Linked DNA regions of Oryctolagus cuniculus. The protein of the gene in region 7 interacts with the protein of the main gene of each other region in a pairwise test. Links are inferred from orthologs where the notes say so. Each region holds a gene or a part of one and is shown on either strand. Other genes may lie near its edges.

Region 1 (3,500 bases), on a different chromosome or scaffold from region 7:
TTTGTCTCCTCTATTACATGTCTGTCAGTGTGATTGTTTAATTTTGTGTGTTTCTTGTTAGCTTTCTTGTGAAACAAATACGCATCTTTGATTTCTTACAGATGAACAAATTGATTGAATATTACCAGCAGCTTGCTCAGAAAGAAAAGGTTGAGCGAGATCGCAAGAAACTTGCACGACGTAGGAACTACATGCCTCTGGCTTTTTCGGTGAGGATTTGCAAGATCTGTGGGGCATAGCAATAGTGACCATTTCAGAAAGTGGCCGTGTCCTTCATTCCTGAATGGTGGGTAGCAGAGAGGGGTCCCTCAGAGTGACAGATGTTTAAGCCCAGCAGTTCTGCTTTTGCCACGTCATCAGCTCTGTTTGAGTTCTTTTGTGTTTTAAGAGTATTTGTGTTTGTTTCTCCATCACTCCCTTTTGTCTTCTGATGGTCCCCCCAAAAAGGCTGCTGTTTAATTGTGTAGACACCACAGAACCCCGCTTGCAGCTTTTGTGAATGACAGAGGGTCTGAAAAGAGAATGGGCAGAGTATGTTCTCTTCACGTCACCCACGTCTCCCACCTTTGACAGCCTGCTGGTAGCCGTTTGCAGCCGTGTGTCCCCACGATGGAAACACTGACATTACACACTTGTTTGGTTACCTAGTCATATCCATGCATTTTAAATTTTTTGCACTAAAATAAATTTACCTTTAAATTCCATTTTTTTAACAACCTTTTTGAAATACCCTTGGATATGCGAGTGGAGTTTTTGTAGGAATTATTTGTGGAAGTCTTTCCCTACCGGTTGCTACGAGTCAGAAGCTAAAGGTTAGGATCTGGAGTTTCTGTTACTTACCTCAAGTTTTATTTGCTCTCACAGAACAGTTTGTTTTCTGTGTTCTTGCTTGAGGCCAGCAGTTTGATATTTAGTAAATAACATTGGTTGAATGGTTACAGTGTGTCAAACCCTGTGCCAAGCACTTTACACATATCATGTTATCCTCACAACAGGTCTTTGGGGTACAGTGTACCCCTGTTGCACACTTGAGGAAATGAGAACTTGCCAAATTGCATCCACATGAGAATTAGTTAAGCCGTTGAAACCTAAAGAATTGTAAGGCTGTGTCAGAATGCCTGGAATAGCGTTTACTACACAGCGACAGTTATGACACACCTGCACTTGCCCGACACTGATGTGCTCGATAATCCAGTGGTGTGATCGGCGTATGTGCTAGTCTGTTCTGTTTAGGAGAGAAGTTCGTGTTAAATGCTTTATTTTTCCAACTTTCCCATGTAACCTGCCTGCTCTATGAGTTTGCTTCTATCTTATGCTGCATATTTTTGTCTCCGTTGCAACCTGCTGCTATTTGGGGGCTCCACAGCAACACACTATTCATGTAGTGGTAAGTTCTCTTTTATGATTCTTGCTGATCCCGAGGAAGTTAGCAGATGATCACTGGTGTTCCAAGAAGATGTCCGTCGTGTGTCTTAGACATTCTGCATAGTTCTTGCCTGAGCCATAGCTTAGATATTTTTAGATTAATAGTAAAACTCACATTTAGTTCACTTTTACTATATTAACATAGTTTCGATCTCTTTGTCTGGTGCCTTTATTATTTTAAGAATAGGATAATGATGTGGGGTTGCAAAGTACTCTCTAAAAGAAGCTTTTAAATTAGCTTTTTTTTTTTTTTTTTGGCTTATTCCCTGAGCTTCTCATGCTTTCCCACCCAGAAATCTTTCAATAAATAGGATGTATAAATCGTCACTTGCTAATAGGAATTTCTGAACTTTGTTTAGGATAAATACGGTCTTGGGACCAGGCTTCAGCGACCACGAGCTGGCACATCCATCAGTACCCTTGCTGGACTTTCGTAAGTGTGGATATTAAACTGAAAAGATTCTCTGTGACAGGAACACTTCAGTTGTTGATGTCCTAGACGTGGCATAATCAGTGGGCCCTGGAGAAATCACTACTTGTTATCTTTTAGCCTTAAAGAAGGAGAGGACCAGAAAGAGATAAAGATTGAGCCGGCTCAGGCTGTAGATGAAGTAGAACCTCTGCCTGAAGACTATTATACAAGACCCGTGAACTTAACAGAGGGTAACTTTAAATATTACTGTACATTTCTAGTCTGCATCTAAGTCTGCTTTGACCACTTGCATGCATTGCGATTTGAGATATTGAAGGGGATTGTTCTGGGTAGTAAAGCAACTTGTAGAAATAAAAGAGAGGGCTGGCGCCGTGGCTCACTAGGCTAATCCTCTGCCTGCGGCGCTGGCACCCCGGGTTCTAGTCCCGGCTGGGGTGCTGGTTCTGTCCTGGTTGCTCCTCTTCGAGTCCAGCTCTCTGCTGTGGTCCGGGAAGGCAGTGGAGGATGGCCCAAGTGCTTGGGCCCTGCACCCGCATGAGAGACCAGGAGGAAGCACCTGACTCCTGACTTTGGATCGGCGCAGCACGCAGGCCATAGCATCCATTTCGGGGGTGAACCAACGGAAGGAAGACCTTTCTCTCTGTCTCTCTCTCTCTTTCTCTCTCTCTCTCTCTCTCGCTGTCTATAACTCTACCTGTCAAAAAAAAAAAAAAAAAGAAAGAAAGAAAGAAAATAAGGAGGTAGATGTCATCAGAGAATTTTTGAATGTTAAATTTCTGTTGTGTGGATTTTTGAACGTCACTGTTCATGGTGGCAGTACTGTTTGATGCAGTTACTGACGACATCTAAGTCTGATTCTGAAAGTCACTGTGACCTGAGCCTGGCTTCTGCTTTCTTGCTAGTGACCACCCTTCAGCAGCGCCTCCTGCAGCCAGACTTCCAGCCAGTCTGTGCTTCGCAGCTCTATCCTCGCCACAAGCACCTGCTGATCAAACGGTCGCTGCGCTGCCGGGTAAGCAGCCCATTCTGTGGAGGTGCATTTGTATGAGAGAAAAGCAAAACTAAAGTAAACATGATTGCTATCTGACTAAGGTAGTAACTGCAGAAGACACCAGGTGTGCAGAACACTGTCGTAAATGCCTTCAATATAAACTCAGTTGGCGTAGCTCTAGCGCAGTCTCAAGTGTTGTTTCTGTTTTACAGATGTGGAAGCAGGCACCTGCAGGTTAAAGACGTAGTGTTAACCACTAAAAGAATAATGATTATTCATCTTCTAGTTTAGTTTGAGGTAGAGGGAGGGAACTATAAAAAATAATTCCAAAGAAAGAAGAAAAATCAGCAAAAAGTTATGGCAGTCTGCAGAACAAATAGTTTCTTTAATAAAGAAATTGTAAAAACGAAACTGAGCAAAGGGCAAAAGGAGCGTTTTAGAGCAGAGCTTGGCAACAGCACTTTCTCTGATGGTGGACTCTCCCACATCTGCACAGAGGCGGAACCACGAGGCACACTTGACATGCGGTCCTATGATGTAGAGCCCTTCATTTTCAGTTATCTAAATAGCTATGTTTGACTAGTGGCTGATGTTTTAAATAACACAGATCTAGGTTAGAAGAGACTTGAGTTAAACACAGTGTGTGGACTT
Region 2 (3,500 bases), on a different chromosome or scaffold from region 7:
CTTTCCCAGGAAACAAGCAGAGAGCTGGATCAGAAGTGGAGCAGCCAGGACTCGAATCAGCACCCAAATGGGATGCCAGCATTGCAGGTGGCAGTTTTATCCATTACGCCACAGCACCAGCCCTAAGGATCCATAATTCTCTTTAGCAAATAGGCTTTTTTTGTTCTGAGTCTGTTCCAGGCAGTAGGCTAAATTTAAAACCAGGGTTGGCAGCCTTTTATGCATAGTATCATAAATAATTTCAACTGTTTCTCAACTGAGAACATGTTAACAATTTTTATATCCATGGAGAAAATGGTGTTTTATCTCCTTAGTTGCTTCAATTGAAAGCATGGAAAGGAGTGAGGGAAAGGTTCCAGGCAGACCCTTCCAGGCATGACTTGTATATTAAGTACAACCATGTGTTGCCCTTGTCTGTTCTCTCTCTCCAGTCCTTGTCATGCCTGCTGGAGTGGCTTGGTGAAAATCCCTCCTGTGCCTCCCCATGACCCCTGACTCTGGTCTGAAGTCTCACCCCACTGCTGGCTTCTCGATACACCACTGAGAACTATGTCTGCCCCATTCCCTTGCCTTCTCCACGGGGGCACCCTTTAAGCCACATGGCAGGAGCCTGGCTCCGGGGAAGGCACTGAGCTGTGGTGGCTTGGTTTACAGCAGGTGGACCTGTGTTCCCTTGTCATCTCGCTTGAAACTCGCAGCCCAGAAGGAGGCTCCTTAAGAAGCTCTTTGTGAAGGGTGGTTTGGTTCTATCCTATGATTAAATGAACATAATGGATTAAATAGCTTTTTTTTTTGATTGATCTGGGAATCTAACCATTCTTTATAAAATGGATTAAGTAATATTATTTCCTGGCAGTTCAGTCTCACTGCCTCTTGTTCTTAAAATATCACTAAGGGTAAATTTACATATCCCACAAGTAACTGATAGCCTAACTAGTTGGACCCTTTAAGAAGCAGTGTTTGGGGGCCAGCATTGTAGTAGTGTGTTAAGCTGCCACTTGCAACACTGGCATCCCATGTGATCACTGGTTTGAGTCCCAGGTACTCCACTTATGATACAGCTGCCTGCTAATGCACCCGGGAAAGCAGCAGCAGATGGCCCAAGTAGCTGGGCCCCTGCCACACATGCTGGAGACCTGGATGGAGTTCCAGGCTCCTGGTTTCAGCCATCTGGGGAGTGAACCAGCAGATGGAAGATTTCTTTCTCTCTCTGTCTCTCCCTCTCTCTGTAACTCTGATTTCAAATAAAGAAATAGATCTTAACAACAACAACAACAACAACATGGGAGCAGAATTTGGATCAGTGTTAACTGAATTTGTCTTTCACACACAAACATTATATCATGAGTGTTTTCTCCCACAGGTTGATTTTAACACCAACTTCTCTGGGGTGGATAGTGGTATGAGCTATGAGGACTTTGTAAACTTTTCTGACATTTACCACTCCAATGACGAGTATTTCAGGAAACTAGATGAGCTGAAGGCTGCCCACATGGAAACTATGGCAAAATTAGAGAAACTGTACCACAATAAATTAAATTTAAAGGATGTTCAGCCAGTGATCGTCAGGGAAGATGTTCCCAGTGTCTCTTCGAGGTAAGTGTGGACTCAGTGTTATTTGTGGACTGTAAAATACAATATATACTTACAAGTGAGAGACACAATTATTTCACAGTATTTTCTCAACTATTCTTTTGTATTCTTAATGAGATACAGAGGTGGGATTTATGTATAATATTTAACAGTTTACCAGCTTATGAGATAACCTCTTGCTTTGAGGGCCTTGTAGCAGCTGTTTGGTTATTTTCTCTCTGACTCACCACTCATCGACCTGTGGGCATACATATCAAAATGTTTAGACTGGGCCATTTTAAATGATGAATATTAAAGTTTTTTTTTTTTTCTTGAGATTTATTTATTTGAAAGTCAGAGTTACTGAGCATGTGAGAGAGAAACAGAGAGAGAATCTTCTATCCGTTGATTTACTTTCTAAGTAGCCTCAATGGCCAAGGGTGGGCCAGATCTGAGCCAGGAGCTTCATCTGGTCTCCCACATGAGTAGCAGGGGCCCAAGAACCTGAGCCATCTTCTTCTGCTTTCCCAGGCCATTAGCAGAGTTGGATGAGAAGTGGAGCAGCTAGGACTTGAACCAGTGTCCATATGGTATGTAGGCACTATAGGCAATGTTTTCACCCACTACGCCACAGCGCGGGCCCCCAGTGGTTTAATTGTAAAAGACTTTAATAGGGGCCAACGTCGTGGCATAGCAGGTAAAGCCCCAACTTGCAACGCTGGCATCCTACATGGGCACTTGTTCGAGTCCCGGCTACTCTACTTCCTATCCAGCTCTCTGCTAATGGCCTGGGAAAATAGCAGAGGAGGGCCCCAGGGCATGGGTCCCTGTACCCGCATGGGAGACCTGGAGGAAGCTCCTGGCTCCTGGCTTTGGAGAGGCCCAGCTCCAGCCGTTGTGGCCATTTGGAAAATAAAACAGCAGATGGAAGATCTCTCTCTCTCCCTCTCCCTCTCTCTGGCTTTCAAATAAATAAATAATTTCCTTTTAAAAAATAGTCTTTTGTAATATTTGAATTAACACGAGCTCATTAAAGATATGTACAAAGAGTTCAGCCTTGGACGCATGAGTCTGATTTCCATTTTCAAGATAGTCTGTAATTTCAAGCCCCATTTCTGCTGTGAACCTCTCACTTTGAAACTTAACACACAAGTCCCTTAACTCATCCAGTCCAATGTGCAGCTTTGTGCACCAGACCTTACCTGGGTATTGAAGAGTCAAAGAAAAATGCCCTCAAGGAGCTCAAAGATAGGCTGAGGACCTGACATTGCTTTGCACATGATGTAACTCAGTGTTCCAGAAACAGAGGAGAGTAGGCAGCCGAAACCGTGTATGCAAAGGCGCAGTGGCGTGAGAAATCAGGGTGTTTGTGAGGATTTCACGGAACTGGGTATGACTGAAGAACGGTGACTGGGGCTTTAGGGAGTAGTAAGAGGTAAGACTGGACAGGTAGGCAGGGCTAGTCTCTTTTCTTCCAAAGATTGATTGATTTGAAAGGCAGAGTTAGAAGGAGAGAGGGACTTGAACCAGTACACATATGGAGTGCCTGCATAGCAGTCAGTGGCTTAACCTGCTGCACCATAACACCAGCTCCAGGGCTTTATAGTCTAGACTGTTTTTGTTTTTTAAATTTTTATTGATTAGAGAGGTAGACAGAGTAAGAGCCTCTGTCTTTTGGTTGAATTCCAAAAGCTTGAGGCAGTATGGTTGGCTTGAAACTCAAGCCGGGTCTCCCACGTGGATAGCAAGAACCCAAGTAGCCATTACTGCTGCCATCCAGGTCTGCATTAGTAGGAAGCTGGATTCAAGAGCTGGAGCCAGGAAGTGAAGCTAGAAAATCCTCTCTGGGACATTTTTACAGCATTTTGTGGGTGTCTCAGTTGGCATCTTAACTGGTAGGCCAAAACCCTGCTTCCACACTTTCTTAT
Region 3 (3,955 bases), on a different chromosome or scaffold from region 7:
AAAAGACACAGACCTTTGGAAGGGCAGTTTGGCTGACGGATCGGATTTTAAAGAGCTTGTCTCCTGCACCCAGTGACATCACTTGTAGACAGACGTCCCCAGAAACACTTGTGCATGCTGCAATGAATGATGCCTGGATCAGCCTGTTCATCGCAGCGTTTCGTAAGAGAAAGTAAAACGACAATAAGAAATGTACTAAAACTTAGCAACAAGGAACCGTTTGACCCTGTAGAAGGATGTGGCAGCTCTAGATATTCTGATAAGGAAGATTATCTGGGACAAACTGCTTAGGGGGAAAAAAGCAAGTAGCAAAATAATGTGCATCATATTCTCATTTCTGTTGGGGGAGAAGCCTCACAATGATATGTGTGTGCATGCACATTGTATAAAAACATGTGGAGGGGCTGGCCCTGTGGGGTAGCAGGTAAAGCTGCCGCCTGTGACCCGCCATCCCACGTGCGTGCCGGTTAGAGTCCCTGCTGCTCCACTTCTGATCCAGCTCCCTCCTAATGGCCCGGGAAAGCAGCAGAGGGTGGCTCGAGGCTTCAGGCCCCTGCACCCTGTGGGAGACCAGGAAGAAGCTCCTGGCTCTTGGCTTTGGCCTGGCCCAACCCTGGCCATTATGGTCTTTTGAGGAGTGAACCAGCAGGTGGAAGACCTCTCTGTCTCCTCCTTTCTCTCTGTAACTATTTCAAATAAATAAATACACGAATCTTTTAAAAATGCATCTAGAAAGGCATGATACATATAAAGTTCTGTGGGGCCTGGTGAGGAGTATAGCAATCTTTGATGACTGAGTGCAAAATTCTTTATAGCAAGAATCTGTTACTGCTCCTATCAGCCTTGTGATAAAGTCATCAATTTCTGCAACACAGTTAGGTTCTGTCCCCTCTCGGCCCCAGTGATCTGGCCATCACCATAGTCCTGAGTCTGTTTTCTGTAAGGAGGGTTTTCCACCGTTTAACCTTATTATTCCCCAAGGCGCTGAGAGAAACGGTGGTTGCTATCCCAGCACCCGCTCTGACTGCAGTGAGCCTTGTGAGTTCCGAAAAGGCTCTACTGGCCGCAAAGCTTTCCAGGATCCTGAGGAACTCCTGAGAAGGGCAAAGAGCACCCCAAAAATCGTTTTAATCGAAAGTAGCCGAAGTTTTCCGGAAAGAGCCGAAGAACTGGGAGCCGAGCACCCCCGCCCCCGGCAGCTCGCCAGCGTCACCGAGGGCTTCCGGAAAGTGCCGAGCAGTGGTGAGGAACGATTTCCCGAGAGTTGCCGAGCGTTTACGGAGATAGCCGAAGGGCTGGGGGCGGAGTCACAGAGCCGTTCGCTGCGGGCACCAAAGGCTCTGACAGGAGCCGAAAGTTGGGAGGCGGAACCATTTTCCCAGGGCGGAAGTGTTGCAGGGGGAGCCGCTAGAGAGGCGGAAGAGCCCGGAGGATTTTCGGAGCGAGCGGAAGCGTCGCCGGCATTTCCGGGGAGGGCGGAAGCGCTGCCATGGCGGCCCCCGACGCTGGTGCCACAGAGAATCACGAAGAGCCCGCGGCGGAGGCGTTGGCCGCGGCCCTGGAGCGGAGCAGCCGCTTCCTGAGCGGCCTGCAGCTGGTGAAGCAGGGCGCCGAGGCGCGCGTGTTCCGCGGCCGCTTCCAGGGCCGGGCGGCCGTGGTGAAGCACCGCTTCCCCAAGGGCTACCGGCACCCGACGCTGGAGGCGCGGCTCGGCCGGCGGCGGACGGTGCAGGAGGCGCGGGCGCTGCTCCGCTGCCGCCGCGCAGGTGAGGCGGCGCGGCCGGGGCCTGGGGGTGCACTGGCGCCTGCCGCCCGGACCCCCGGTCGGGACGCGTCGTCCTCGCGCCCGGTCTCGATGCGCTCCGGGCGAGTTGCTGGCGCGTTTGGGCCCTGACTGTTGCTCGGTGGTGCACGGTTGCTTTGCCGCCTTGGCCTTGGGTTTTCCCGCGTGCGGTGTCAGGGTTTCCGTCACAGCAGCCGGGCTCTCTGGGCTCGCGTCTCGCGCAGCCTCGGCGTCCTTGCCTGCAAGGCGGCAGCGGTGCTGGGGAGCCCGCCTCCGGGGGCGCTGTGAGCGGTCGCCGGCTGTGTTTGAATGTCAGCCTGGCACGTGTTAGACTTCATTCGTTCATTTTTTTCATGAAAGCACCCCTGTGCCCCGCCGCCGGGAACTCCGACCTCAGCCGAGAACCTGGGGCTGGGAGAGCGGCAGCAGCTTTCCCGGGTCACATCCTCCCGACCTCCTGCACACCAGGGCCATGTCGGGGGCTGGGAGGCGCGGGGAAGCTGGGGGAGAGCAGGCGGACAAGTCCCGGGCGTTTCTGCGGTTCCGGAAGCTGCGGGCGTCTGTGTTCACCCCTCTCTGCGCTGCAGGCGCCGTGCAGCGGGGATCGTGGGCTGTAGCCCCGGGAGAGGTCTCCGTTTCTAGAACGTGGCCTCCTTGACTGTGCGCACTGAGGGTGGCGACCCCATGAGTAGCATAAACCGAGGTCGCACCGCTGCTAAGCGCAGGGATCGGACTCCACCCTTACAGACTGCGAAATGAGCCTCCCCGTGGCCACTCTGCCGGGCTCCGTTGTGTCCAGAAACTTCTGTCTGGGCCGGGCCTCCCCTGCTGGCTCCCAGGTTGGTGTGAGAACTAGGGTTCAGCCCCAAGTTGTAGTGTGGGGAAGGAGGAAGCTTTGGCCCCCCTACCCCGGGCTGTTTAATGGTCTCAGGCCTGAGCCCGAGAATGTTCCAGAGTCGAGTTGTGCCGTTTCCTAAAGCTGTTTCCTGAAGTGAGTAAAGACTGGAAGACTCACTTAACTTTGAAAATGAAGCCTTGACTAAGGGAAAAAACCAAGAATGCAACCCAGTAACCCCCCGCGTCTTGATTCCAGGCATCTGTGCCCCAGTGGTCTTTTTCGTGGACTATGCTTCCAACTGCTTGTACATGGAGGAAATCGAAGGCTCAGTCACGGTGCGGGATTATATCCAGTCCACCCTGGACTCTGAAGGAACCCCCCAGAGCCTCTGTGGCTTGGCCAAGGCGATCGGGCAGGTGCTGGCTCGGATGCACGACGAAGACCTCATCCATGGGGACCTCACGACCTCCAACATGCTCCTGAAGCCCCCGGCGGAGCAGCTGAGCATCGTGCTCATCGACTTTGGGCTGAGCTTCGTCTCGGGGCTTCCGGAAGATAAGGGCGTGGACCTGTACGTCCTGGAGAAGGCCTTCCTCAGCACCCACCCGAACACCGAGCCCGTGTTCGAGGCCTTCCTGAAGAGCTACGCCAGCGCCTCCAGGAAGGCCAGGCCAGTGCTCCGAAAGCTGGACGAAGTCCGGCTGCGGGGCAGAAAGCGGTCGATGGTCGGGTAGGACGCGAGGCGGCTCCACAAGGCTAGGCCGATCTTCAGGGTAAATCTGGACTCTACAAACGTGAGACTAGGCCTCAATAAATGTATCGAGCTGTTTTGAAGCCGTGTGTGTGGTCATGCCTGTTGAGTGTCGCCATCTGCAGTGAGTATTCCTAAGAGCTTGCGTGAGGTGCTCCAGGCAGAACTGGGTGTTTGCAGTCAATCCAGGACTGGGCATCAGCTTAGCGGTTGAGACCCCTGTGTCCTGTCTCGGGGTGCCTGGGTGTGGCGCGACCGGCTTCCCACCAGCGCTGATCCTAGGAGGCTGCAGTGATGGCTCGAGTAACCGGCCCCTGCCATCCCTGTGGGAGACCTGGATTGCCTTCCGGGCTCTGGTCCCTGCCTAACCCCGGCCATCGTGGGCGTATGAGAAGTGAACCAGTGCAGGGGAGTGCACTCTCTGCCTTCATCTGTCTGTCTCTTGAGTGAATGATTCACGAGAAAGTCAATCCAGGGCAGGCCTGCCTTTCAGCTTTGGTGTGTAAGCCTCAGGTGCGTAGACATAGCATCGAAAGCAGCCTGTGGCTGGGTGAGCAGAACGTTCGCTGTCGGTGCTGCTGGT
Region 4 (3,500 bases), on a different chromosome or scaffold from region 7:
ATGTCTGCATCCCACATCAGAGTCCTGGCTCTGGCTCCAAACTCTGGTTTGCTGCTAATGCAGATTCTTGGAAGAATCAGGTGATGGTTCAAGTAAGTGGGTTCCTACCACCCAAGTGAGAGATTTGCATTGAATCCTTAACTCCTGACTTTAGTCCTGGCCATTGTGAGTATTTGGGAAGTGAACCACTGGATGAGAGTTTTCTTTCTGTCTTTCTTCTGTCTCTCTATCTCTGTCTCTCTCCCTCTCAAATAATTTTTTAAAAGAAAACACTACTCTGTTTCCAGATGTTTGATTCTACTTTTCATATCACAGTACAAGGTTGAGAAAATGTCAGTGGAAAGATCACTAAATTGAGACTCAGGAGATTTGGCTTGTAGTTGTTGTTCTACTTTTTTGCTTCCTGGCCCAAAACAAAAGGCTGCTCATCAGCAATATAAGTATAATGATCCTCCTAAAAATTTAGCACTATCAAAGCCCCAGATGACCATAGTATGGAATACTGAATGATTGTATGATAAAGATGCTCACTATGTGTCAGATTGGATTTGAGGCAAATACAGGAACATCTGGCACATTCTCCTTCACAACCATGAGCTGAATGACAGAGTTACTCCTGGCACATTTATTCATTAAACCACCATATGGGGTTAAGATAGTGTGCACCCAAAATCAAAAGAACTCTATGCGTGCAAGACGATGGTGGTGATAGTGCTTATTTATATAAAATTACATAACGGGCTGATGTTTTGCCTAGTGGTTAAGATACTCACATTCCACATTAGTGTGTCTGGGTTCAATTCATAGCTCCTGATTCCAGCTTCCTGTTAATTCAGACCCTGAGAGACAATGCTAATGGCTCAAGTAATTAGGTTCCTGTCATCCACATGGAAGACCTAGATTGTGTTCCTGGGCCACAGATTCAGTCTGGCCCATCCCTGGCCATTGTGGGCATCTGGGAAGTGAACTAGTGGATGGAAATTCATATTCTCTCTCTCTCTCTCTCTCTCTCTCTCTCTCTCTCCGTCCCTCTGCCTCTAAAATAATAAATAAATAAATAAATTTAAATGACACGAAATCCATTATGTAAATCTTATAAATTTGTGGCATATAATAGACAATAAATGATAGTTCCTACTCCCACTTTTAAATTATTCATGGATGGTTGATCTGTGTAGCTGCAACCTCTGAGCTATCAATTTCAACTCCAAGGAAACTAATTAAAGGATGCATCAATTGATGCTCTTCTGAGATATGGTTAAGTCTTTAGCAAATAAATGAGTTGGCTTTTTTTGCACAGAAGGGGGAGACAAAGAGAGAGAAAGAAAGATAAAGAGACAGAGTTAGTCCTCATCCTCTGTCTCATTCTCCAAATGCTCACAATGGCTGGAGGGGCCAAATCTGGCAAGTGTAAACCCAATCCATTTCTCTCATATGGGTAACAGGAACCCAATTACTTGAACCCTCACTACTGTCTTTCAAAGTCCAAATTAGCAGGAGACTGGAGTCAGGAGACAGAGCTAGGGATCAAACTTCGGCACACTGATATGTGCTTCAGCTGTCCTAACAGGTCTTAACCACTATGCCAAATGCCTACCTCAGGTGGACTTTTAATTACCTACTTGACTGAATTTTGAACTCCTGCCCTTGTTCCATAATCCAGGGTCTTAAATACGTATCTTAGTCCAGATGACTTTTGAAAATGCCTCCATGCCACCTACCCCAGAACCATAGTTCCTACAAACAATGAGGACCACATTAGAGCCCTGAACCACTGAGGTGTTTTTGGCCTATGTTAGTTGTTCCTGTTTCCAAAGGCTAATGACATTCTCAGCCTCAATTTTACCTCCTACTAAGCTGTCTCTTTTGCCTCAGAATGCCGAGTCATGAAGGGAAACCCATCGGCCACAGCTGGCCCAAAGGCATCCCCAACACCTCAGAAGAGTTCAGCCAAGAGCCCCGGCCCCATGCGCCGAAGCAAGTCTCCAGCTGACTCAGGTAACGACCAAGACGGTGAGTGATCTTCTCCTAACTGTGCATGCTGACTTCACTATGTAGGCCAGTACCCTCTGCATGCAGAGGATTGTGTTCCTCATGAGTACTACTGTGTTTCCATGAGTGCAAATTCTGGTAATTCAGAGATCAAAAACTTCAAACGTTTTTGGAATCATGGAGGCACAGCGATAACCTGATTCTACTCAAATGGATGCAGACCAGAAATCTGGCCAATTTGTCCTGCTTGCTGTAATGCTCATTGTCATGATTGTCATCATTGTCATCATTCTCATTCAGCAAAAACATATTCAATGAAATGATTGAGTCAAATTTTAAATTGGAAATCCAAATGGAGAATAAGTATGTAAAAAATGACACCAATAAGTATCAACCAGGTTGATGTACTCGAGCTTCAAATTTGGCTCTGAACTACTTAGAAACCAAAACAAAAAGGAAGTCAAGTACACCAAAAATATACATAAAAGAGATAAAAGGTAGATCATATCATTCTCCCAACGGAGAAAGAAAACGTAGAACTAGTTCTGAAAGAAAACAGTAAGATTTGTCATAAAGATTGTATTTAATGGATAGTGAGTTATCTAAAAAATGTGTTCTATGGATAACCGCCAACCCATGAACTATTTGTTAGCAGTCAGTCTGTGATGAGATTAGTAGCTTGTGCCAAATGTAAATCAACTATGCCACTAGGCAAACTATTTAGTTCAGTTTATATTTCTTGAGAGCACAATTTTATTGATAAAGGCAACAGTGTGTTCATTCATGCACTGGCTCAAACTCTTTATCTTTTCTTGGACTCACAGTTTGAGTGGCATTGATCTAAAGGGCAATGTTTTCTAATTTTTTATTAAAAATAAAGGACCACAGAAGCCCAAGTTCATAAGTTTAGCATACATGCACAGAAAATGTGAGTTCTTCATATTAAGGGCATTTTATGGTCCAGAGGACTTAAACATTTATCTTGGCAAGGTTCAGGATTCATCATGAGAACTCTACTAGCCTAAGAGCCATGGGGAAGTCAAGCACCTTCCATCTGGGGCAACTTGAGCGGCCTGTTGGCTTTGAAATTCCTGTGCCTGGTACAACAGCCTGCTAGGAGTATGCATATCACCAGCCACTAATTTATACTCAGGCAGGGGGAACTAAATTATAAAAAGATAGCCTCATTTTTTCATTCTTACATACTTTCATACTTTGCACATCCTGTTGTCTCACTCCTGGAATGCCATTCCTCTGACCTGCCACTTGTCTTTGCTTGAAAACTGATGTTCATACTTCAAGACCTCTCATAGAGTAGAGATGGCTGTTCTGTTCTCTGTAATATCACAGCATATCATTCATATCTCTGGGATAATATTCGCCAGACTGTGTTGCAAAATGTGTATTTGTTTGTCTGCTTCCCCAACTAGATACCAAGCCCCTCAAAGAAACAAGTCATTACCTTTATTTTTGTATGCTCAGTGCTAAGCACAGTGCCTGACCCCTAG
Region 5 (4,287 bases), on a different chromosome or scaffold from region 7:
TGTGCGAGACCCCAGCGCGCCTTGACCCTGGCTCACCAGTGAATCAGATCTCTCGGACGTCACAGCCCAGCTGTGTCCAAATGTCCAGAGACGTCCATCTTCCCTCCCCCACCCCTGAGGGGCTGGATGGGGCTTGGCAGGGAGGACACTGATTCCCATCCACTTCCACCAGCCGGCCTGAGCCCCCTCCCCTCCTGCTATCTCGGGGTGATGGGGAGACCCCTCCCCCCCACATCCTGTTTTTTCCATTCATTGTTTCCAGGTGAACCTGAGGTCTGAGCCTGGCAGAGGAAGGTGGGGCCATGGGGGAATTTAGCAAGGGGACCCGCGAGGAGCAAAAACAGGAAGGGGGTGGGAGCCAGCCATGGAAAATTCGCTGCTGGGAAAGGGAGGCCAGCATCTGGTTTGCATTAGGCGGAGAAGCTCCGAAGCCCAAAGCCCCGAGGGGCGTGGTGTTGTCCAGCGGACAGGGTGTGGCGCTGTTGGGGGACCAGAGCTGCTCCCCAGCAGGGACCCGGGCAGGCAGACGAGAAAGCAGGAGAGAGAAGGGGAAAGGCAAGTTCCCGTGCAGCCTGCCCGTAGGCAGACTCTTAGCAAACGCGTCTTCTTGGACACTCACAATGGCTGGCTGAGTCCCAGAGAGGTTAAGTGAGCTGCCCAAAGTCACACAGCAAGGACTGGGATCAGAATTCAGGCCAAGGGCGGCAAGGTGGCGCGTTGCAGCCAAGCCACAGCTGGCTGGAGGCAGACCCTGAGCCAGCCCAGGGGGCACTGAGATGGGACTGGTGACAGGGGCCGGCCAGCCTCTGGCTGAGGGTCACTCTGTGCTGCTTGGGGGTGTCCAGAAGTTTCCTGACAAAGCTAACCACATGTCCTTGGGCTCTAGTCCAGTGCCTGCGGAGGAAGCAGGCAATCCACATGGGAAGACTTCCTGGAGGAAGGGGCATGAGCCAGAGAGGAGTTAATCAGTGAGGGTGGGAAGGCATGGAGGCTGCAGATGAGGCATGTCGGGGCAATGGCAGCTGGCCGGGGGTGCCTCAGAGGGTGAGGCACCACTTGACAGTTGGGGAAACTGAGGCATGGTGACGCTAACCTGCCCAAAGCTTCGTAGACGAGAAGGGGAGTTAAAACAGCCTGTCCGACTCCAGATCTGTGGTCTCTACCGCTACACTGAGCTGCAGGGGGATCTGAGGCCGGGGGTAGTGGGGGAAGGGCCTGTGCAAGGCCTGGTCCCATGACAGGACCAGGGCGGGACCAGACTTTCCAAAGCCACAACCTCGGTGAAGTGGAGACAAGCGCCCCATCGGGGGCCTGGCTGAAGCCTGGGGTCCCAGGCTCCTGGAAAAGCTTCCGACCTCCCGACCTCCCCCCAGAAGTGTCTCGCCTTCCCCAGCCCAGAGCCCAGTAGGTTGAGTAGGTTGGCCCCAGGGACTTGTGCCGCCCTGCTGAGCCGCGGGAGTTAATAATTAGGGGTTGAAGGAGGCAGAGGCCTGTCTGGGAGGCGCCTCCCTCCCAGGCAGCTGTTCCCAAGAGATAGCAAAGGTTAGTGTAAGGCTTGGCCAGTCTGCAGAGAAGGCTCTGCCACCTGCCCTCCTGCCGGTCTCCGGAGAGACCCTCTGGCTGGCTCCTCACGCATGGACGACACCACCGAGGAGCCCTCCGGGTGCCCCGCCAGAGGCTCATGCCCAGTGTTCCTGGCCATGAGTTCAGGGGCCGTCCGCTATGCCCCATCAGGCCTGGGCCCTGCGCTGGAGGGGAGCTTGGGCGAAAAGTTCTGGGGCACAGACAGGTGAGCCAGGGACTTGGGTCGGGTGGGGGCAGGGGGATCGCGTCACCCCCAGGGGGAGGGGGCACGGCAGGGATGAGGTGCCAGGTGCCAGGTGCCAGGCACAGGAATCAGGAGAATTGCCTGAGTCTCCTACAAGATCAGCTCCGAGGCGGGGGTGGGGGTTGGGGGGTGGTCTTGATTGTCTTCTCCAGCAGGTAGGGAATGGGGCTCAGAGAGGGCAGGACACTGGCCCTGGGTCACCCAGTGAGCTGAGGTCAGATCTAAGAGTCAGGGCATGGGGCAGCCAGGCTGAGGGTCTCCTGCTCTGCATCTGCCTTCAGCCGTGGGTGAGAAGGGGGTGACCGGACAGAGGGAAGAAGGCTGGGAGGGCAGTGGCCAGTGGGCAGAGACTCGCCTGCACGCTTTCTTTCTTTTTTTTTTTAATTTATTTTATTTATTTGAAAGAGTTACAGAGAGAGAGAGAGAGAGGGAGAGAGAGAGGTCTTCCATCCACTGGTTCACTCTCCAAATGGCCACAATGACCAGAGCTGAGCCAGCCTGAAGCCAGGAGCCAGGACCTTCTGCAGGGTCTCCCATGTGGGTGCAGGGGCCCAAGGACTTGGACCATGCTCTGCTGCTTTCCCAGGCGCATTAGCAGGGAGCTGGATCAGAAGTGGAGCAGCCAGGACTCAAACCAGCAGTATGGGATGGCAGCACTGCAGGCCAGGGCTTTTAACCCTCTGCGCCACAGCGGCAGCCCCATCACCTTCTATTCCTCCCTCCCTCCCTGCCTGCTGGGCCCGGGGCACCTGCCTGACCGCCTCCACCTGCCAGATCCCAGGGAACCCTCTGCTTTCTGGGTTGTCTTTATGGAAAAACAGGTGCAAGAAAATTGGACCCTTCCACCCCTGGCTGTGTGGCATCAGGCAGTTTCCTTGGCCTCTCTGAACCCCTCTTTTTCAGACAAGGGGCAGGGTTTGCCATGCTGGGGTGGGGGCAGGGGAGGCCCAGGAACCCCTGGGGCTGGATGCACAGAGGACCGGATATTTTGGGTTAGTGACTGTCGTCAGCGTTGGCAGAGTGGCGAGCACACACTTGTCCTTTCAGGCCTTGCTCAACAGCCTGCCAGGCCCGAGGACTGGGGCCACAGGCCTGGGTTGACACCTCCTCCACTCTTATCTCCCAGGCTCTCTGCTACCACGGTTTATCTCCCTCCTGGCTTGGAAAGCAAGGGCCTGCTCCTGTGTGTCTTCCCCTCCTTCCCCTAAACAGAGTGAGGAGCAGGAAGAGAGCAGTTGCTCAACACTTGCTTGGTGAAGGATTCGGGCCAGCAAACATATGCTGACATCTGCTTGGGGCCAGACCCTGAGCTGGGCTGGGGTGGGTGGAGGAACACAGCTCCAGGAAGGGGCTGGTCCCGCCTTCTGGAAGCAAAAGTCATGGAAACACTTGCCCTGCAGAGTGAAGGGCATGCGAGGCCTGGGGTGATGATTCCGGAAAGTTTTCGCAAGGTGTGCCATGGAGGGCTGTCCAGGTTGTTTACTGCACAAGATGAAGCAAGGCGTGACATCCAGCCTGCCTCTACTCACCGTCCCGTACTTTGGTGTAAGCTGCTCCTAGCTGGGAAAGGCGTTGTTTTCTATTTTTTTCTTTTAAGATTTATTTATTATTTGAAAGGCCGAGTTACAGAGAGGCAGAGGCAGAGAGAGGCCCTCCATCCGCTGGTTCACTCCCCAATTGGCCACAAGGGCCAGAGCTGGGCCAATCCAAAGCCAGAAGCCAGGAGCCAGGAGCTTCCTCTGGGTCTCCCACATGGGTGCAGGTGCCCAAGGACTTGGGCCATCTTCTACTGCTTTCCCAGGCCATAGCAGAGAGCTGGATAAGAAAAGGAGCAGCCAGGACTCGAGGGTCTCCACGCCAGGCGGTGGCTTTATCCGCTAGGCCACAGCGCCCGCCCCAGGCGTTGTTTTCTATTTCCAACAGAGACACCATTGGCTCTGCAAGATGTGCCCTGGGCAAACAGTGGCTCTGGCAATGGAGGTCCTGAGAGTATGCTCCCTACCCCCATCCCCCATGCCCCCATGACCAGGAGGGCAGTGTCTGCGTCTGTGTGGCCTCCCCCTGGGTCCCCATCCCTTGCATTGGTCCATGGTTTGTGCTCACAAGGGGAGTGAATGAACGAATGAAATGCATCCCCAGATGAAGACCTGATACACTCAAACCTGGGTCCCAGGGCCAGTGAGCCTGGAGTGGAGCACCCAGGGTGCTAGTCTCATCTAGAAGGGGAAGTGCCTCCCCTGACACCCTGGCCTCCTCCAGACAGGCAGGGTGGGGATGGCACCCCCAGCGGGAGAGAAGGGTTACGGATCCAGTCCCAAGTTTGTGGAGGTCTGTTAAGGCCCGGTGGCGGCTCAGGGCAGGTGGTACAAAGGGACCGGGAGCGTGGCCAGGGATGCAGGGAAAGGTTTTGCAGGGAACAGACAGGTGTGGGGCAGGGGAGGGGACTTGGGCCAAAGCTG
Region 6 (4,168 bases), on a different chromosome or scaffold from region 7:
TAGTGCCGGCATTCCATATAGTCTCCAGTTCGAGTCTGGCTGCTCCACTTCCAATCCAGCTCTCTGCTATGGCCTGAGAAAGCGGTGGAAAATGGCTCAAGTCCTTGGGCCCCTGCATCTGCGTGGAAGACTGGGAAGAAGATCCTAGTTCCTGGCTTTGGATCTGCGCAGCTGCAGCCATTGCGGCCAACTGGGGAGTGAACCAGTGGATGGAAGACCTCTCTTTCTCTGCCTCTGCCTCTCTGTAACTCTGCCTTTTAAATAAATAAAACCTTAAAAAAAAAACTAAAAGCTAATCAAAACTAAAAGCTAATTAAATCTTTTTTTGAAAAAATAATCTATTTTTTATTTGAAAGGCAGAATTACAGAGAGAGATGGAAAGACAGAGAGGGAGGTCTTCCACCTGCTGGTTTACTCCCCAAATGGCCATAACAGCTGGGGCTGGGCCGATCCAAAGCCAGGAGCTTCTTCTAGGTCTCCCACGTAGGTGCAGAGTCCCAAGCACTTGGGCCAAACTCCGCTGCTTTCCCAGGTGCATTAGCAGGGAGCTGGATTGGAAATGGAGCAGCTGGGACTTGAACCGGCATTGCCTGTACTGCAGGTGGCAGCTTAACCCACTATGCCACAGTGCTGAACCCTGATTAGATCTTCAAACTAAATCTGTCACAGTTTTGACTTTTGACAGGTCTTTGTTCAGAAGCTCAGTCCAAATGAATGGCCTCCTATAAATCTTACTGAATATATTAAATCATATATATATAATGTATGTAGGTATATACATATATATTTATACACATAAGGAATATTCTCAAAGTGACTTGCTAAAGAACACAAAAATACAGTGGGTCTTCAAGAGGTTCATGGAAAATGTATATTATTATAAAAAAAACTGTCTAAATTTCAATTTTTTTTGGTGCATAAAATAACTATATTTTAATTCCCTTTTTTTCTACCAACGGTTTGAACTATCCCAGTTAAATCCCCAGGAGTGTTTGGGGAAGAAAGGGTACTGGTTCAAGAACAGTTTTCTGATTGTGAATGTTCTCAGAGCGTCCAAGAACGCTCCGGTCTCACGATTTCCTACCGTTTCAGAAACCCCATTGTCCTCCACTCAACTTGCTTCGGGCAGCCTCTTATACTTAGACACCTCTTCTAGGTGAATGGGTCTGAGCGGGGGAATAAAATAAAGGCGTTTAAAATGCCTCTCCCCCCACCCTCGTTATTTAGCCAAGGAAATGTCCTGTCATGTGACAGTAAACGAGTAATCAAGTTAGCCATTTACTCTTGACTTCAGGGGCCGTCCTGTAAAACCCCACGGGTCAGAAGAGACCCGAATTGTACTCACGTTTAAACAACTACAAGTCCCAGAAGGCTTTTCGGCGGCGGCGCCTGCGCATCGCGGGTTCTGCCCTCTTCGCTCCTGGTTGCCGGGAAAGACCCGCCCCGCGGCGCTGTCGCTCGCGTTAGAAGAAGCGGAAGAAGATGGCGCTCACCAGGTGGGTTGTTGATTTGGGTCCTTGATACGGAAGGGTCTGGTAGTGCCCCTCTTTTTCATGTCTCTGCCCCGTCGTCTCCAGCCAGGGATCTGGCTTAGGACACAGGAAGAAGAGAGCCGAGAGCTTGGCGAGGGCCTCCCGCCGGTCGCCGCGGCGGCTAGGCCTCCCCGACGCTGGGGTCTTTCCTGAGCGGCCTTGGGTTGAATTCGGCCCCTGGGCAAGGCCGAAACCCTCGGCGGGACCGCAGAAGCTGGAGAGCGGCACGTGTTTTCCGCTGAAGCCCCTTGCGGGTGTGTGGAGCGCGCGCCCTGGGGTCGGCGGCTCCGCGGGACGCGATGGCACCGTGGGGAGCGGGGCTTGCCTACGCGGGCGGAGGGAAGCGCGCGGGACGCGACTGCGCGACGCTCCGGCCGTTGTTCGCTTCTGGCTCTCTCCTTTTCTCTATCCACTCTGTCGCCCCGAACAAAGCTTCCCGAAAAGGGGGATCCGGAACTGATCGGGGAGTCTTCAGTTAGCCACAGTGGGGGCCGCTGTGTCCCCATAGGCGCCAGCGCTCCGCACTTTTAACTTTGAACCTTAGAATTTCTTCGGTGAAATCGAACCACCTTGGAGCGCTGCTGTGCCCGGTTGCCTTGGTAACCAAAGGCCAAGCGCTCCCTTCCTTTAGGAGAAAAAGATGCTCTAAGCGGGAGCTTCCGAGAAGTTACATAATTCCCTATGCGTGACCTGGCTGCCCGGTCTAAGTAGGCAAACTTTCCCCGCGAACTCATCTGGAAAAGTCGAGTGTGAAAAAATGGGCTGCAAAGGAAGCTGTCATTTTAGGGCGTGAGCTTGAGCTCCCTGACCATGCTTGGTTCTCCTCAAGCGTCTTCAGCCAGGCCGATGACACTGAATTTAAAAAAAAAAATTTACGCGACCATTCTTTTGGGAATGACGTTGAGTGCCTTGCTGTATTCAGGCGTTACGTATCCAGGAGATCTGTCTTTAGCTGCAACGCAGATGGGGCCCAAGGCATACAACTATCAAAGTGCTCATTTACATAGATGATAGTCTTAGTGCAAAAAGCAATTAGATGAAGAGAACTGCGTGGATCAAAGAGTTTGCTTTAGAAACTGTTACAGGTAGGTGCGAGGCATTGTGACATAGACAAGTAGGGTCAAGAGAAAAAGTTAGAATTTGAAGTGGATATGCAGGGAAAATACCAGGGATGTTGAGGGTATTGTGTGCTTAAAATCGCAATGGCAGAATGCAGTCTTTAAGTGGCCAGTCTTAGCAACTGTGTTGCTTTTCATATGCTATTTGTATACTTTTAATGTCCTCTATAATAAATCGGTAAACGTTTCCCTGAGTTTTGTGAGCTGGCCTAGCCAGTTGAACTCAAGGAGGGAGTTGTGGAACCCCAGTTTATACCTCGTGGGTGAGGAGTATACCCTGAGCACACTTGAAATTGGTATCTGAAGTGTGGCAGTCTTGCAAGACAGCCCTCAGGATCTGTCAGAATTGAATTGAATTGGACATTACCTGAATGTCTGGAAACTCCCCCCACATCTGGTGTCAGAAGTGTTGGGTGTGTTGTATTGGTTGATGAGTGAGAAACTTTTTCCTATACTTTTGCATTCCTATCTGTGCAGAGCTTGCCTTCTGGTTATATGAGTGAAACAAATCAATAATGCCATTTCAGGTACCAGGTACTGGGAAGACAGTAAAGGGTTGGAGGGTGACTCCAAGTTTGGAATCAAGTGGCTTTTTTGGACAAGGTGGTCACAACTTTAGGAAGGTGTAATTAGTTGAGCAAAGAGATGCGCTGCTAAATGCAGGCTGCTAAAAAGTTGGGGAAGAGTTTGCTGTAAAGGAAAATTGCTTTTAGTAAGTAAATAGACTATGTCATGGTAGAAGGAATAGCAAAGGTAAAGCTCCTGCAATGTCTTTTTAGGGAAAGATGACACGACTGTAGGGACATCAGGATGATGAGTGCGAAGTATCGAGTGAGCTATTTTCTATCTTTAAGGAGCCCCTGTTAGCTGGACAGTTACTGGGAAGTTGGGATGAAAGAAGTTAAATCCGTGGGCCCTGCCTCAAAGTTTGTGATGGTGCTGTGTGAGGATAGATGACTGCACTGCAGTGAGGTGGATATTTCTAGTGATGAAACACAGAGATACACAGAAAGTCTTTTTTTTTTGCCAGGCAGAGATAGAGTGAGAGAGAGACAGAGTTATAGACAGTGAGTGAGAGAGAGAGTTATAGACAGTGAGAGAGACAGAGAGAAAGGTCTTCCTTCCATTGGTTCACCCCCAAATGGCTGCTATGGCCGGCGCATCGCGCTGATCCGAAGCCAGGAGCCAGGTGCTTCCTCCTGGTCTCCCATGCGGGTGCAGGGCCCAAGCACTTGCGACATCCTCCACTGCCTTTCCGGGCCACAGCAGAGAACTGGACTGGAAGAGGAGCAACCGGGACAGAATCCGGCTCCCCAGCTGGGACTAGAACCTGGTGTGCTAGCGCCGCAGACGCAGGATTAGCCTAGTGAGCTGTGGTGCCGGCACACAGAAAGTCTTATGGGAACAGAGGTAGAGATAGCTAACCCAGACTGAAGAAATCATGCAACAGACAGGATGCCAGCTGGTTCAGGAATTTTTTCATTTAATACTTATAAGGTTGATAACTTTCATGATCTA
Region 7 (3,174 bases):
TCCAGCTGCGCACCTGCTCACGCACTGCCAACTTTGTCCTTTTCCCCGTGCAGACAACTGTCAGAGGAGAACGCTAATCTGCAGGAATATGTGGAGAAGGAGACCCAGGAGAAGAAGAGACTGAGCCGAACCAACGAGGAGCTGCTTTGGAAGCTGCAAACCGGGGATCCGACCAGCCCGATTAAACTCTCCCCAACGTCTCCAGTTTACCGAGGTTGCGCCTCCTCGGGGCCCTCCTCTCCAGCCAGACTCAGCACGACGCCCAGATGACGTCACCACGCAGCCTAGGGGAGCTCCGGCTTCCGGTCCACCGCGAGGGCGGACTGACCCGGGGCCCGGCCCGGAGCCGGCCCAAGCGCGCATGCTCAGTAGCTGCATCCTGCCTCGTAGGCCGCGTCCTCTGCCCCCCACCGTGTGAGACTGTCCTGGTGTTGTTGGCATTTAGGAAGGTGTGTGATGTGCAAGCGTTTTACCATAGTTAGCGCCAAAAGAAAGACAACTCCAGTTCTCGAGGGAACTTCCACTGCAGAATTTCAGGTCACAAAAAGCTCAATTTTCAATATACACTCAGCAATCGTTGTGTACTGCACCGAGATGTGTGTGTATTTAGATACACGGATATACACATGCGGCGGTTCTCAGTTGCATTTTTTTATAACGTCAAGTGCTGACATATTTTAGTCACGGTCAGCAGTTTTCTAACTCGTGCCTAAGAATTATTGGGAAATGACAATGCATTTCTATCTAGTTTCCCAGGAATATTTCTACCCAAAATAGAAAAAGGAAAAAAAAAAAAAAAACCATACGGAGCAAAAGCGCCTTTGAACCTACCACCAAGTGGTACTCTATCTAGCATAAACACCAGCCATCTGTGAACGGTAACCGCCTTCGTGAGAGTCAGCGTCTCAGGCCGTCCCAGGTGAGGGCTCCACTCGCAAGGTCTAGTTAGGAGCCGCTCTGCCCTGCGTGGAAAGCCCAGGGGAATCCGCCGCTTTGCAGGTGTTCCGCACCACAGTGACTCAGCTACCGTCTCCTGAGCACAGGTCTTGTGGCATCTCAGAATCGAGCTGTAAACTTTCGGGATCCTTGAGAGAGAGAGAGAGGGTGAGGGTGACCCTGGAGGTGACCGAGACCCTTGGTGCACCATTCCTTAGGAAGGGAAACTGGCAAGCGACGGGGCCTCTGTCTGGACCAGGCTTGCTGCGAGGCTGTTGCTAAATGCGCTCAATTCATTGGAAGCCGATCTCAGACTTGCATTTCCTAGGTAGGTTCCCCACTTCAGTTTGGTTCAGCGACTCGGCTCCGTCACTGCACATGAAGGTGGCTCAGGGGTTCCGGCAGAGGCTTCCAGAAAAGTCATTCTTTCTGGTGGGTGGCCAAGCAGTGCTCCCCCCTCCCCCACACAGTGGTCCTGTCTCCGGCCGAGAAAGCTCCCGGACCGGGGCCGGGGCGCAGTGGCACAGCCGGTGAGGGCTCCCTGGCCACCGGCCTGGCGTCTGTCTGGGACACGATAGCGTTAGGATACAAAGAGGCACCCCCGTGGCAGAGTGGAAGACACAAGTGACAGAAGTAGTTTTGACCGTCAGTGGGGGTGATGGCGCCTTTTGTCTAAGACCCTGTACACCTCTCCCAAAGACCCCTAAAAATCGCCCTGAGCGTAGGCTGGGCTGAGCACACCCAAGGCACGAAGTTCCAGGCAGGGGTCTTGCGAGGGCTCAGAACCGGGGACGGCAGGCAGGAGGCCTCGCAGGGGCGTGCCCAGAACGCGCAGGAGGCCACGCAGGGGCGTGCCCGGAACGCGCGTGTGGCTTGCGTTGGTGACATGAGCCCGGGGGTCGGGCTTCCTGGCCTGGGGGCACATCTCGTTTTCTCTCAACCCTGCAGGGGCCCTGCCCGTGCTGGGGACACCCACGGTAGATAGGCATTGAAGACACATTTCTTTTTGCTTCTGTGGCTCTGCATGCTGCTGTAATGTTGGGGTTGGGCATCCTGTTAGAGTAGATCCTGCCATGATTATTTATTCTCTCGGCGGGCGCAGGCTGCCAACAGCAGCTAGGCTGCAGCTTCGCTGTCTTGCGTAACCGCCGCCTGCCAAACGCAGTCACCCAGCGATACAGACTCCCCCGCGATGTTAGCGTGTGGTGCTGTGTGTTAGGCTGTGCGCTCAAAGTTGTAGCGATGGTAGCGCTAAGTAATCCCTCACCCACCCGGTGGACCAGACCTTTGCCCTGGACAGCCGTGACCTTGGGGTTGAGCTGATGTCCACATGACCCTGGCTTTGTTTTTTGCTTCATGGACGCCCATCACGTCTAGCTCTTCATCTGAGTCATTTCTGTTTCCGAAACACATGGGACAACAGCTAGTGCTGCTGCGCCCCCTCCTGGACATTCCCCTCTGAACACACACAATTAGGACTGGGACTTCTCTCTGCCTCTGTCTCCATTCCCAGCTCGGGGGCAGGGGCCCTTCTCAGACATAGACGCTGCAGCAGGAAAGCCCTGTCTCGTAGCAATCAGGAGACGTGACCGTGGCCTGGGTGTCAGCCTGGGGCGGGAGTGGGATGGAGGTCTGGCACTCTCTGGGATTAGTCGAATGGGGTCACCGCGTTCCTCCTCCCTTCAGTTTCTGTGTTAACGTATCTGTGTTTAAAGCCTATTAAAATGAACATGAGGGACTTTCTGTGATATGCACTTGGTGTCACTGGAGACCTGACCCTCAGGCCGGAGAGTCCAGGCAGGGAGGTGTTGGCAGGCTGGGTTCCTTCCTGTGTGTGTGTGTGAGCACATGCGGGGGCACCTGATTGTCACTGAGAGCAACCCTGGAGACCTCCTCTCCGACCGGTGAATTCTTCAGCAGCGCAAACCGCGGCCTTGGGGGCTCAGTGGCTCCACTCGGCGGGGCAAGGTGGGCTGGTGTGGGTTGGAGGGACACAAGTGGCTGAACACAGTCCCCGCACTATGAGGTTCAAGGTCAGACCTTGATGGCTGTCCTGCACGAAGCTCATGGAAAATGGAATTAAAATATTAATTTATTGGGGCATAAATTTTTTGAAATCCATGCATATGAAGTGTCTTCAAAAACCCACAAAAAGTGTACATTATTAAAGTCATAAACTATGCATAGATTTCACAAATTTCTCACCTGTTTTCACCTGCAAGTGCTCGCTCCTCTCAT

What was found.
Region 1: the proteins of MTUS2 (region 7) and DCTN4 interact in binary tests that used the Homo sapiens proteins (3 or more experiments, as listed by UniProt). The two-hybrid records come from large-scale screens. The link is inferred for Oryctolagus cuniculus from reciprocal best matches to the Homo sapiens genes MTUS2 and DCTN4.
Region 2: the proteins of MTUS2 (region 7) and FAM161A interact in binary tests that used the Homo sapiens proteins (3 or more experiments, as listed by UniProt). The two-hybrid records come from large-scale screens. The link is inferred for Oryctolagus cuniculus from reciprocal best matches to the Homo sapiens genes MTUS2 and FAM161A.
Region 3: the proteins of MTUS2 (region 7) and TP53RK interact in binary tests that used the Homo sapiens proteins (3 or more experiments, as listed by UniProt). The two-hybrid records come from large-scale screens. The link is inferred for Oryctolagus cuniculus from reciprocal best matches to the Homo sapiens genes MTUS2 and TP53RK.
Region 4: the proteins of MTUS2 (region 7) and DCX interact in binary tests that used the Homo sapiens proteins (3 or more experiments, as listed by UniProt). The link is inferred for Oryctolagus cuniculus from reciprocal best matches to the Homo sapiens genes MTUS2 and DCX.
Region 5: the proteins of MTUS2 (region 7) and RAB3IL1 interact in binary tests that used the Homo sapiens proteins (3 or more experiments, as listed by UniProt). The two-hybrid records come from large-scale screens. The link is inferred for Oryctolagus cuniculus from reciprocal best matches to the Homo sapiens genes MTUS2 and RAB3IL1.
Region 6: the proteins of MTUS2 (region 7) and SNW1 interact in binary tests that used the Homo sapiens proteins (3 or more experiments, as listed by UniProt). The two-hybrid records come from large-scale screens. The link is inferred for Oryctolagus cuniculus from reciprocal best matches to the Homo sapiens genes MTUS2 and SNW1.

What each region holds. Positions count from the first base shown.
Region 1 is NC_091437.1:37,940,892-37,944,391, reverse strand, and holds part of DCTN4 (dynactin subunit 4), read left to right. Parts: intron 1-101; coding exon 102-209; intron 210-1,366; coding exon 1,367-1,387; intron 1,388-1,784; coding exon 1,785-1,858; intron 1,859-1,975; coding exon 1,976-2,088; intron 2,089-2,760; coding exon 2,761-2,870; intron 2,871-3,500. UniProt on the Homo sapiens protein: Part of the dynactin complex that activates the molecular motor dynein for ultra-processive transport along microtubules.
Region 2 is NC_091433.1:140,953,143-140,956,642, forward strand, and holds part of FAM161A (protein FAM161A), read left to right. Parts: intron 1-1,363; coding exon 1,364-1,596; intron 1,597-3,500. UniProt on the Homo sapiens protein: Involved in ciliogenesis.
Region 3 is NC_091442.1:12,878,750-12,882,704, forward strand, and holds TP53RK (EKC/KEOPS complex subunit TP53RK), read left to right. Parts: upstream 1-1,437; 5' UTR 1,438-1,489; coding exon 1,490-1,766; intron 1,767-2,876; coding exon 2,877-3,355; 3' UTR 3,356-3,455; downstream 3,456-3,955.
Region 4 is NC_091453.1:82,194,930-82,198,429, forward strand, and holds part of DCX (neuronal migration protein doublecortin), read left to right. Parts: intron 1-1,875; coding exon 1,876-2,013; intron 2,014-3,500. UniProt on the Homo sapiens protein: Microtubule-associated protein required for initial steps of neuronal dispersion and cortex lamination during cerebral cortex development. May act by competing with the putative neuronal protein kinase DCLK1 in binding to a target protein.
Region 5 is NC_091432.1:10,248,226-10,252,512, forward strand, and holds the start of RAB3IL1 (guanine nucleotide exchange factor for Rab-3A), read left to right. Parts: upstream 1-1,487; 5' UTR 1,488-1,634; coding exon 1,635-1,789; intron 1,790-4,287. UniProt on the Homo sapiens protein: Guanine nucleotide exchange factor (GEF) which may activate RAB3A, a GTPase that regulates synaptic vesicle exocytosis. Promotes the exchange of GDP to GTP, converting inactive GDP-bound Rab proteins into their active GTP-bound form.
Region 6 is NC_091451.1:23,450,505-23,454,672, reverse strand, and holds the start of SNW1 (SNW domain-containing protein 1), read left to right. Parts: upstream 1-1,368; 5' UTR 1,369-1,482; coding exon 1,483-1,496; intron 1,497-4,168. UniProt on the Homo sapiens protein: Involved in pre-mRNA splicing as component of the spliceosome. As a component of the minor spliceosome, involved in the splicing of U12-type introns in pre-mRNAs.
Region 7 is NC_091440.1:85,068,008-85,071,181, reverse strand, and holds the end of MTUS2 (microtubule-associated tumor suppressor candidate 2), read left to right. Parts: intron 1-53; coding exon 54-270; 3' UTR 271-2,674; downstream 2,675-3,174. UniProt on the Homo sapiens protein: Binds microtubules. Together with MAPRE1 may target the microtubule depolymerase KIF2C to the plus-end of microtubules. May regulate the dynamics of microtubules at their growing distal tip.